Linked DNA regions of Arabidopsis thaliana. The protein of the gene in region 1 interacts with the protein of each later gene in a pairwise test. Each region holds a gene or a part of one and is shown on either strand. Other genes may lie near its edges. The genes, in order: RLK902 and PIP2A.

Region 1 (3,930 bases):
AGACCATTGCTTTGTAGTGAAAATTTCGATCCCCAAAAAACTGAGGTTTGTCTCACATCACTTCCCTTTTTTTTCCCTTTATGTCGTTATTCTATACTAAAAAACTGCTTGAAACATCGAATATGGTAGCGAGAGGGAGCGCAAGTTGGTAGAGGAATTCTCGTCGCTCAGAAGATCTAGTAGTAGTACTGGACCTACTGGTACAATGCTATCCCAATCTAATTGAAACTCATAATTTTCAATACACAATGTTAAAATCTTATAATCCCCACTTGTAGAAACTCGTCAAGAGGAGCAGAGTTTTGGCTCAGAGCCCAGAAAAGAACCATCTTTGTGGCATAAAATGAAGAATTTCATAAGGTAATCTCATAGAAACCTTTTTCTCAGTAGTTCATCAAAAGACACAACATTGTTGTCTTGGTCTGATACATAGTTTTTAATGTCACGTGTTATATAGACCAGAAGATTCAAGAACGAAATTTGGGACTATGAGCTTAAACCCATCATTACCATTACGAAGAATGAAAGTGTCAGAGACTTCAATTGCTTTTTCAGTCTTGGCTCTGTGCGTTATAACCTCGGCTGTTGCATTGGTACAGAAGAAGGGTAATCGCTTGAAACAAAAGAAAGAAACTTAATTTCGTCAAAAACCCTGAAACCCCACAGGTAGAAGTTTAATTTCAAGTAACAGAGAGCTTTTTACAAGATTTAAAAGGCCCTCGGTCATACAATTCTAGTTTCTAGAGATTGTTTGTCACGCAGAAGAGATATGATCTTGTATGTATGTTTTATCATTTATATATGGTTAAGAGCCTAGTTGTGATATACAACGAAAGGAATGTTATTACTTGAACAAATGTTTATGTATGCTAGACCAGCTTAAACCGTGACAGAACTATGCTTTGAACTCAATTCAGTCCTCTTATTTACTTTGTTTGTCCCTCTCTCATTAGAGGAACCTTTTTAGGCAATCAAGAAAAGGTTTCCCATAATCCCATATCTATTAGTATAGTCTTTTATTGCTTAGTGGGTCTCAACACACAGCTACTATACTTAGTATTTACATTATGATGACTAACGTCTTTATCTTCCAAAGTAAAACAATAGTAAAGCCAGCTAGATAGTTAAAAACACAACTCAATAGTATACCTTTTGTTAAATGGCTTAAAAACAACTCAATATTCCAACTACCAAACTGTTTATCCACATGTGCGATCGAAAATAGATCCATTAAATTACTACACTTCATATAGTTTTACTCTTTTCTTCTAAAATGTAACGCCCAACCACATATCAATGTAACCGTCGTGAATCTTTTTTCATCTTTTATTGTAAATTATCCAAAATATGAATCACAATAATATTACCTTTGTGGACCATGAAATAATTTATTCGATGGATAGAAAAATTGGTAAGATAGTAAGATTAATGGGACCCTTTAGATTGATGCCGTTGATATGCAGAGAGTGGAGACAATAAAAAAACAGAGAATGCGTTACTTGTAAATAAAAGAGCCTACTTTGAATGCTGTTAAATTATTGTTGTTGGCTTTTTTACATGTTTATGGTCCTACCTTTCTCTGCATACCCATGTTCATTTTTTTCTTTTCTTTTACAACCATGCATTATCATACTACTATAGTAAGAAAAAATCAATTTTATTATTAAAGAAGCAAAACAAAAAAAAATACATAGAATTAAGTGTTATCTTGAGAAGAGTGATTCCACTTTACTCAGATGCAGGGAATTTCATAATCAAAACCTTTGTATTCCATTTCTCCATAAACACACACACCCACTTGCTAATTTTCTTGTTAATCCGATTGATTATTAAACTCTAAGTTTTTGTAATCCAGTTAATAATCTTTAGCAGTTGGAATTTAGATAAGACAACACAGCTTAGTGGTACGAATGATTCACATAAGATTCTATAATATCAATAAGTTAAAACATAAAAACCAATAATAGAAATTAAAAAAAAAAAAATACAAATATTTTTGTCGAAGCATATAAAGACATACGTCACTGTTGTATAGAAATTGTCGTTTTTGTCACATTTAGATTTTAATTTGAAAAAATTTCAAAACTCGAAAAAAACAAAAAGTGGAGAAAAAGAGAAAGAGAGAGTGTTAAGAGTGTTGACTAGCTTCACTCTTTCTCTGTAAACCACACACACAGCTTCTTCACTGAGAGCTTTTTTCTAGGGTTTCTCTCTTTGTTTCTTACAATGCGACTCTTCTTCACACCGTCAATGTCCAATCTCTCCATATTCTTCTCGATTCTTCTCCTTTCTCTTCCTCTTCCGTCAATCGGAGATCTCGCCGCCGACAAATCCGCTCTTCTCTCTTTTCGTTCCGCCGTCGGTGGTCGTACATTACTCTGGGACGTCAAGCAAACCTCACCATGCAACTGGACCGGCGTCTTATGCGACGGTGGTCGTGTTACTGCTCTTCGTCTTCCCGGTGAAACGCTCTCCGGTCATATACCGGAGGGTATTTTTGGTAATTTAACTCAGCTCCGGACGCTTAGTCTCCGTCTCAATGGTCTTACTGGTTCTCTTCCTTTGGATCTCGGAAGCTGCTCCGATCTTCGGCGTTTGTACCTGCAGGGTAACAGATTCTCCGGTGAGATTCCGGAGGTTTTGTTTAGTCTTAGTAACCTTGTTAGGTTGAATCTAGCTGAGAATGAATTTAGTGGAGAGATCTCGTCAGGGTTTAAAAACCTTACTAGGCTTAAGACTCTGTACCTGGAGAATAACAAGCTCTCTGGCTCTCTTTTAGACTTGGATTTGTCTTTGGATCAGTTCAACGTTTCTAATAACTTGTTGAACGGATCTATACCTAAGAGTTTGCAGAAGTTTGATTCTGATTCGTTTGTGGGAACTTCTCTCTGCGGCAAACCGCTTGTTGTCTGCTCTAATGAGGGAACTGTGCCAAGCCAGCCAATTTCTGTTGGCAATATTCCCGGAACTGTTGAAGGAAGTGAGGAGAAGAAGAAAAGGAAGAAGCTTTCTGGTGGAGCTATAGCTGGAATAGTGATTGGATGTGTGGTTGGTTTGTCCCTGATTGTTATGATTTTGATGGTTCTCTTTAGGAAAAAGGGGAACGAGAGAACAAGGGCCATTGACCTTGCAACCATCAAGCACCATGAAGTTGAAATTCCTGGCGAGAAAGCGGCCGTGGAAGCACCGGAGAATAGGAGCTATGTAAATGAGTACTCTCCGTCTGCAGTGAAAGCTGTGGAAGTGAACAGTTCAGGGATGAAGAAGTTAGTGTTTTTTGGGAATGCGACAAAGGTCTTCGATCTTGAGGATCTGTTGAGAGCTTCAGCGGAGGTTCTGGGGAAAGGAACGTTCGGGACAGCTTATAAAGCGGTGCTTGACGCGGTGACATTGGTGGCTGTGAAGAGACTGAAGGATGTAACGATGGCGGACAGAGAGTTTAAGGAGAAGATTGAGGTTGTTGGGGCGATGGATCATGAGAACTTGGTGCCCTTGAGAGCGTACTATTACAGTGGAGACGAGAAGCTGCTTGTCTATGACTTCATGCCTATGGGAAGCTTATCAGCTCTCTTACACGGTGAGAACTACCCCTCTCTTTCTTTCTCAGCGAAAAATTTGATTTTTATTGTTAATAGTTCTCTGCTGAATCTTAAGTTTGGCATAATTAGTAATGGATTCGTTAATATACATTACTGTTAAGAAAGAAATGACAAAGATTCTATCATGAAATGATTAGTTTGGTACTGCATCACATTGACAAGGATCAGTGAAGAGTTTTTATCATTCACATGGCTTACACAGGACGTCTATGAATTAGTGGGGACAGTAGATAACCTTGGATTCCTTGACTAGCTGTGATAATTGATCTTTTAGAATTGTATTTTGAACAAAGAAAAATCCAGACCTCCTGTGTTCTACTTTCAGACAGTA
Region 2 (3,930 bases), about 14 Mb from region 1:
AGGGAAATGAAAACTGCAAGTGACTGATTTAGATTTGTACAGAGAGATCACAACTTCATTTATTCTTGAGAAATCTGGTTTGATGTGTTTAGACGTTGGCAGCACTTCTGAATGATCCAAGAGACTTAGAACCTGAAGCTCTCAGAACGAATTGGTGGTAGAATGCAGCTATCGCAGCTCCAATGAATGGTCCAACCCAAAATATCCACTGTTTGTAATCACCAAAATTTCAAAACATTATTCCCTTGTAAAAATGAAAAATATAGTTGAATGTAATGGAGAAACGTTGAGGTCTTACGTGGTCATCCCATGGCTTGCTCTTGTTGTAGATTACGGCAGCTCCGAAACTCCTTGCCGGGTTAATTCCGGTTCCGGTAATGGGAATGGTAGCCAAATGTACCATGAACACGGCAAATCCGATTGGAAGTGGCGCCAACACCTTTTATTTCATCAAAATTCAAATTTATTAGTATGATTGAAATCAAATGTTGGTTTGGTTTGCTTTGGTTCCGGTTTTGAGTCGGTTAACCATATTGAAGATTAATAGCACTACATATGTGACTCACCGGAACGTGGGAGTCTCTGGCACTACGTTTGGGGTCAGTGGCAGAGAAGACGGTGTAGACAAGAACGAAAGTACCAATGATCTCTGCGGCTAGACCGGTCCCTGTGCTGTAGCCATCGGCTAGAGAGTTGGCTCCACCTCCGTAACGGGTGTAGTAAGAGCTTTGGAAGGCTTTGACAAAACCAACTCCACAAATCGCACCCAAACACTGAGCGATTATGTACAATAGGGCCCTAGGTAACGACACTTTACGTGCCAAGAATAGCCCAAATGTCACCGCTGGGTTAATGTGACCACCTAAGGAAACAAAAAGAGTTGACAATGTTACCAGTACTTGAGAATTAAGGTACAACAAGCAATTAATTAACCGGTTTCAATTCTGGTTAAGACAGGGTTAGTCAGTTGCTTAAAATAATTACTAGGCTTAGATTAGATATATATCATTCGGATAAGAACCGATTTGATCATGACCCTTATTAAATGTTTTATAAACAAATCATTTTCGTCTTTTAAACCTAAGATTTTAAACCGATTAAATAGTAATGTCAACCAAGCAATATTTTTCCTTGCAAAATAATTAATTTCGAATAAACAAACCAAAACCATACCATATAATTTTTACTTGTCTAAATTTTGAGTTTGCAAGTTGTACTTACATAAGTAAAACTTATTCAGCTTATTCGGTTTAATTGTAATTCTAATACTCAAAAAGTGTATAATCTTAATCTAAACCAAACCAAAATCAAGATTAAAGAAGGATCATACCAGAGATACCGGCGGTGCAGTAGACGAGGATGAAGATCATACCACCAAAGGCCCAAGCGATACCGAGGATTCCAACTCCGCCGCAATCTACGCCACCGGCATCAGTATCGGACTGAATCTTGTAACCGATGACTGTCAAAACGGTGATGTATAAGAAGAGGAGAGTGGCTACGAACTCTGCGATAACTGCTCTGTAGAAAGACCACTTCTTTAGCTCCGCTCCATCAATAAACGGAGCTGGTGGCGGATCTTGATAGTCTCTTGTCTGAAATCCTTCTCCGGGAACGGCTTCCACATCCTTTGCCATAGTTAACTTCTTCTTCTTTCAAACAATAGCTTTTTTTTCTTTTGCTTCTCTGTTGGAGTGGTTAGTGAGAAGAACATGTGCTCTGTTTTATAGTGAGAGCTCTCCTTCTTGTTAATTTGTTTGTATACTTTTTTATTGCTTTATCTTTTAAAAAATATTTTTAGTATTTTTGCCAACGTTATATGTTTTTTTGGTTTTTTGTGTATTGAGGTTTTTTTTTGGAATGAAAGTTTGTATTTTCAATGAAAAAATTGGATATAAAAGTATACGAGTGAGTTATGATTATTATTATTATGAGGGAAGTAGCTTTGACAAAATGATTATGAACTAGCTGTCCTGAAATAAATTTTGAACCAATTCTATTTAATGATTGCTTGATATATCAATATCATACATAGTTACTAATACGTAAAGACAAGAACCCTAGTTTAATTTCAGACTTAGAGTTTTTCAATCGTTGAAATTTGAAAAATTCAAATAAGTTAGCCAGTAAATTTCTTTAAAATTTGATTCGAGTTTATTTTAGATCCTAAATTAGAATAGTTTATTCTATTTAACGTTATAGTTTGCACCAAGTCCATGACAAAAAGATTGATCCAAATCTATTGAACATGCGTCTATAAATACATGATAATGATATGGGATTAGCTAGCTTATGATATCATAAAACAAGACTTTATATCCACTCATATAAACTTGCATAGTTTTATCTCTCGTAGCAATAGGAAGTATCAATCAGTGGTGATGGTGGAGAGCTATCAGAACCACAACTTTGAAATAATTTATTAGTTTTTATGTCAATCAAATTTTTATATGTTTTTCTGGTAAATAATGGAGGTTTTTTTTGTTTACTTTAACTTAGCCTCGCCGCCCCCATCACCTAAATGTCATTTTCTTTAGGACCGACCCAATATACTATATCATCAATATGGTGCTCTCTTCTTTTTGTCGTATAATATCATAGCCTGTCGATTTTTCAGATTTAAAAAGCCACAGTTTTTGTATGCCAAATCATTTTAAAATAACTTACGTCCACTTTTTTTTTTTATCGAATCAGCATTTACATTCTTGAAAACACATAACAAAACTCCAAAACCTTATTTTGCTCCAACGAAGCATGGCTAAGTTTCTTCACTCCAAATCCAACTAATCATGCATGGTTATATTCGAGTGTCTCATTGTATATATAGAGAACATTTTTCTTGTTCACCAAAGTCAAAACACTTTGTTTTCAAAATAGATAGATATATGGTCATTCTCTTACATTATAAACATTTTTGTAGTCTAGAAGGTCTAGTTTTCTATCACCAACATATGTTATTAAGTATGTTTGAGGTGTCATAAAACAAAACCCTACTTGAAGATGTTAGAGCCGGAACTCAAAATTATGACACAATATTAAAGAAGCATAAACTATTTCGTTCACAAACTTTCATTTCAAACTTAATTGACGATAAGTAAATTGATTCGTCGTATATCTTATCACACATAACTCAAATTAGCATTTAAGTTGATATTACTAACATAAAGTAACCAAAGCCTAAACGAACCCTTTTTCATAATTGTTGTGTTGGTATATCACTCTCTAAAACCAGGGTGTAAAGTTATGGTGCCGTTTTGTGGGGTGGGTCGAGATTCCACTGAGGTTAAAATCATATGGTCTGTGTTGGCAAAAGGTGACACGTGAATGGGTGGCGCGCGTGACTAACCGACCCGATCCCTCCGACAAACGTATCGTCACCGTCCAATCCATCTCAGCATATAGCCGTTTGTTCGCTCAACCACTCACATAATGCCACGTTTGTTGTCCCCACCAATCATTTGCATTTTCTCTTCATATCCAAAATTTCATATCTTTTGCGAAAATTGCTGACAATTAGACTGAAAACGAAAATATAACAAAACAATAAATCCCAATAAAAATGACAAATTGTGACAACCAAACAAAAGACAGGAGATGCAGTTCCATGGTTATCGTTTTGCCATGTGGCAAACCTTATCGTTTTGGCTACGTTGGTCGGCTACTATTAGACGAATATTCCACGTCAGCCAACTCTTTTTTCTCATGTTTTTCGAAGTGAATTTTAGATAATAAAAGCACAGAAATGTGAATTTTCTGGTTCTGGTTCTGTTGTTAATTGTTATTAGTATGTTTATTTATATATTTTACACTTTCTTCTATTCATAGAAAACTAGTCTTAACCTTATCTAAATATTCTAGACAAATCGAGTTACATATAGTATGACGTCGTTATGCATAAATTTTGTCCTTTTTAGTCACTCCAATTGAAAG

Evidence for each region.
Region 2: the proteins of RLK902 (region 1) and PIP2A come close enough for resonance energy transfer, tested with the Arabidopsis thaliana proteins (one study listed by BioGRID).

The regions. Positions count from the first base shown.
Region 1 is NC_003074.8:6,103,866-6,107,795, forward strand, and holds the start of RLK902 (receptor-like kinase 902), read left to right. Parts: upstream 1-2,042; 5' UTR 2,043-2,226; coding exon 2,227-3,577; intron 3,578-3,930. Other genes in the region: AT3G17830 (Molecular chaperone Hsp40/DnaJ family protein), read left to right, coding at 1-45, 130-200, 279-360, 458-638.
Region 2 is NC_003074.8:19,803,818-19,807,747, forward strand, and holds the start of PIP2A (plasma membrane intrinsic protein 2A), read right to left. Parts: upstream 1,914-3,930; 5' UTR 1,638-1,913; coding exon 1,331-1,637; intron 863-1,330; coding exon 567-862; intron 440-566; coding exon 299-439; intron 209-298; coding exon 89-208; 3' UTR 1-88. UniProt on the Arabidopsis thaliana protein: Water channel required to facilitate the transport of water across cell membrane. Probably involved in root water uptake. Its function is impaired by Hg(2+).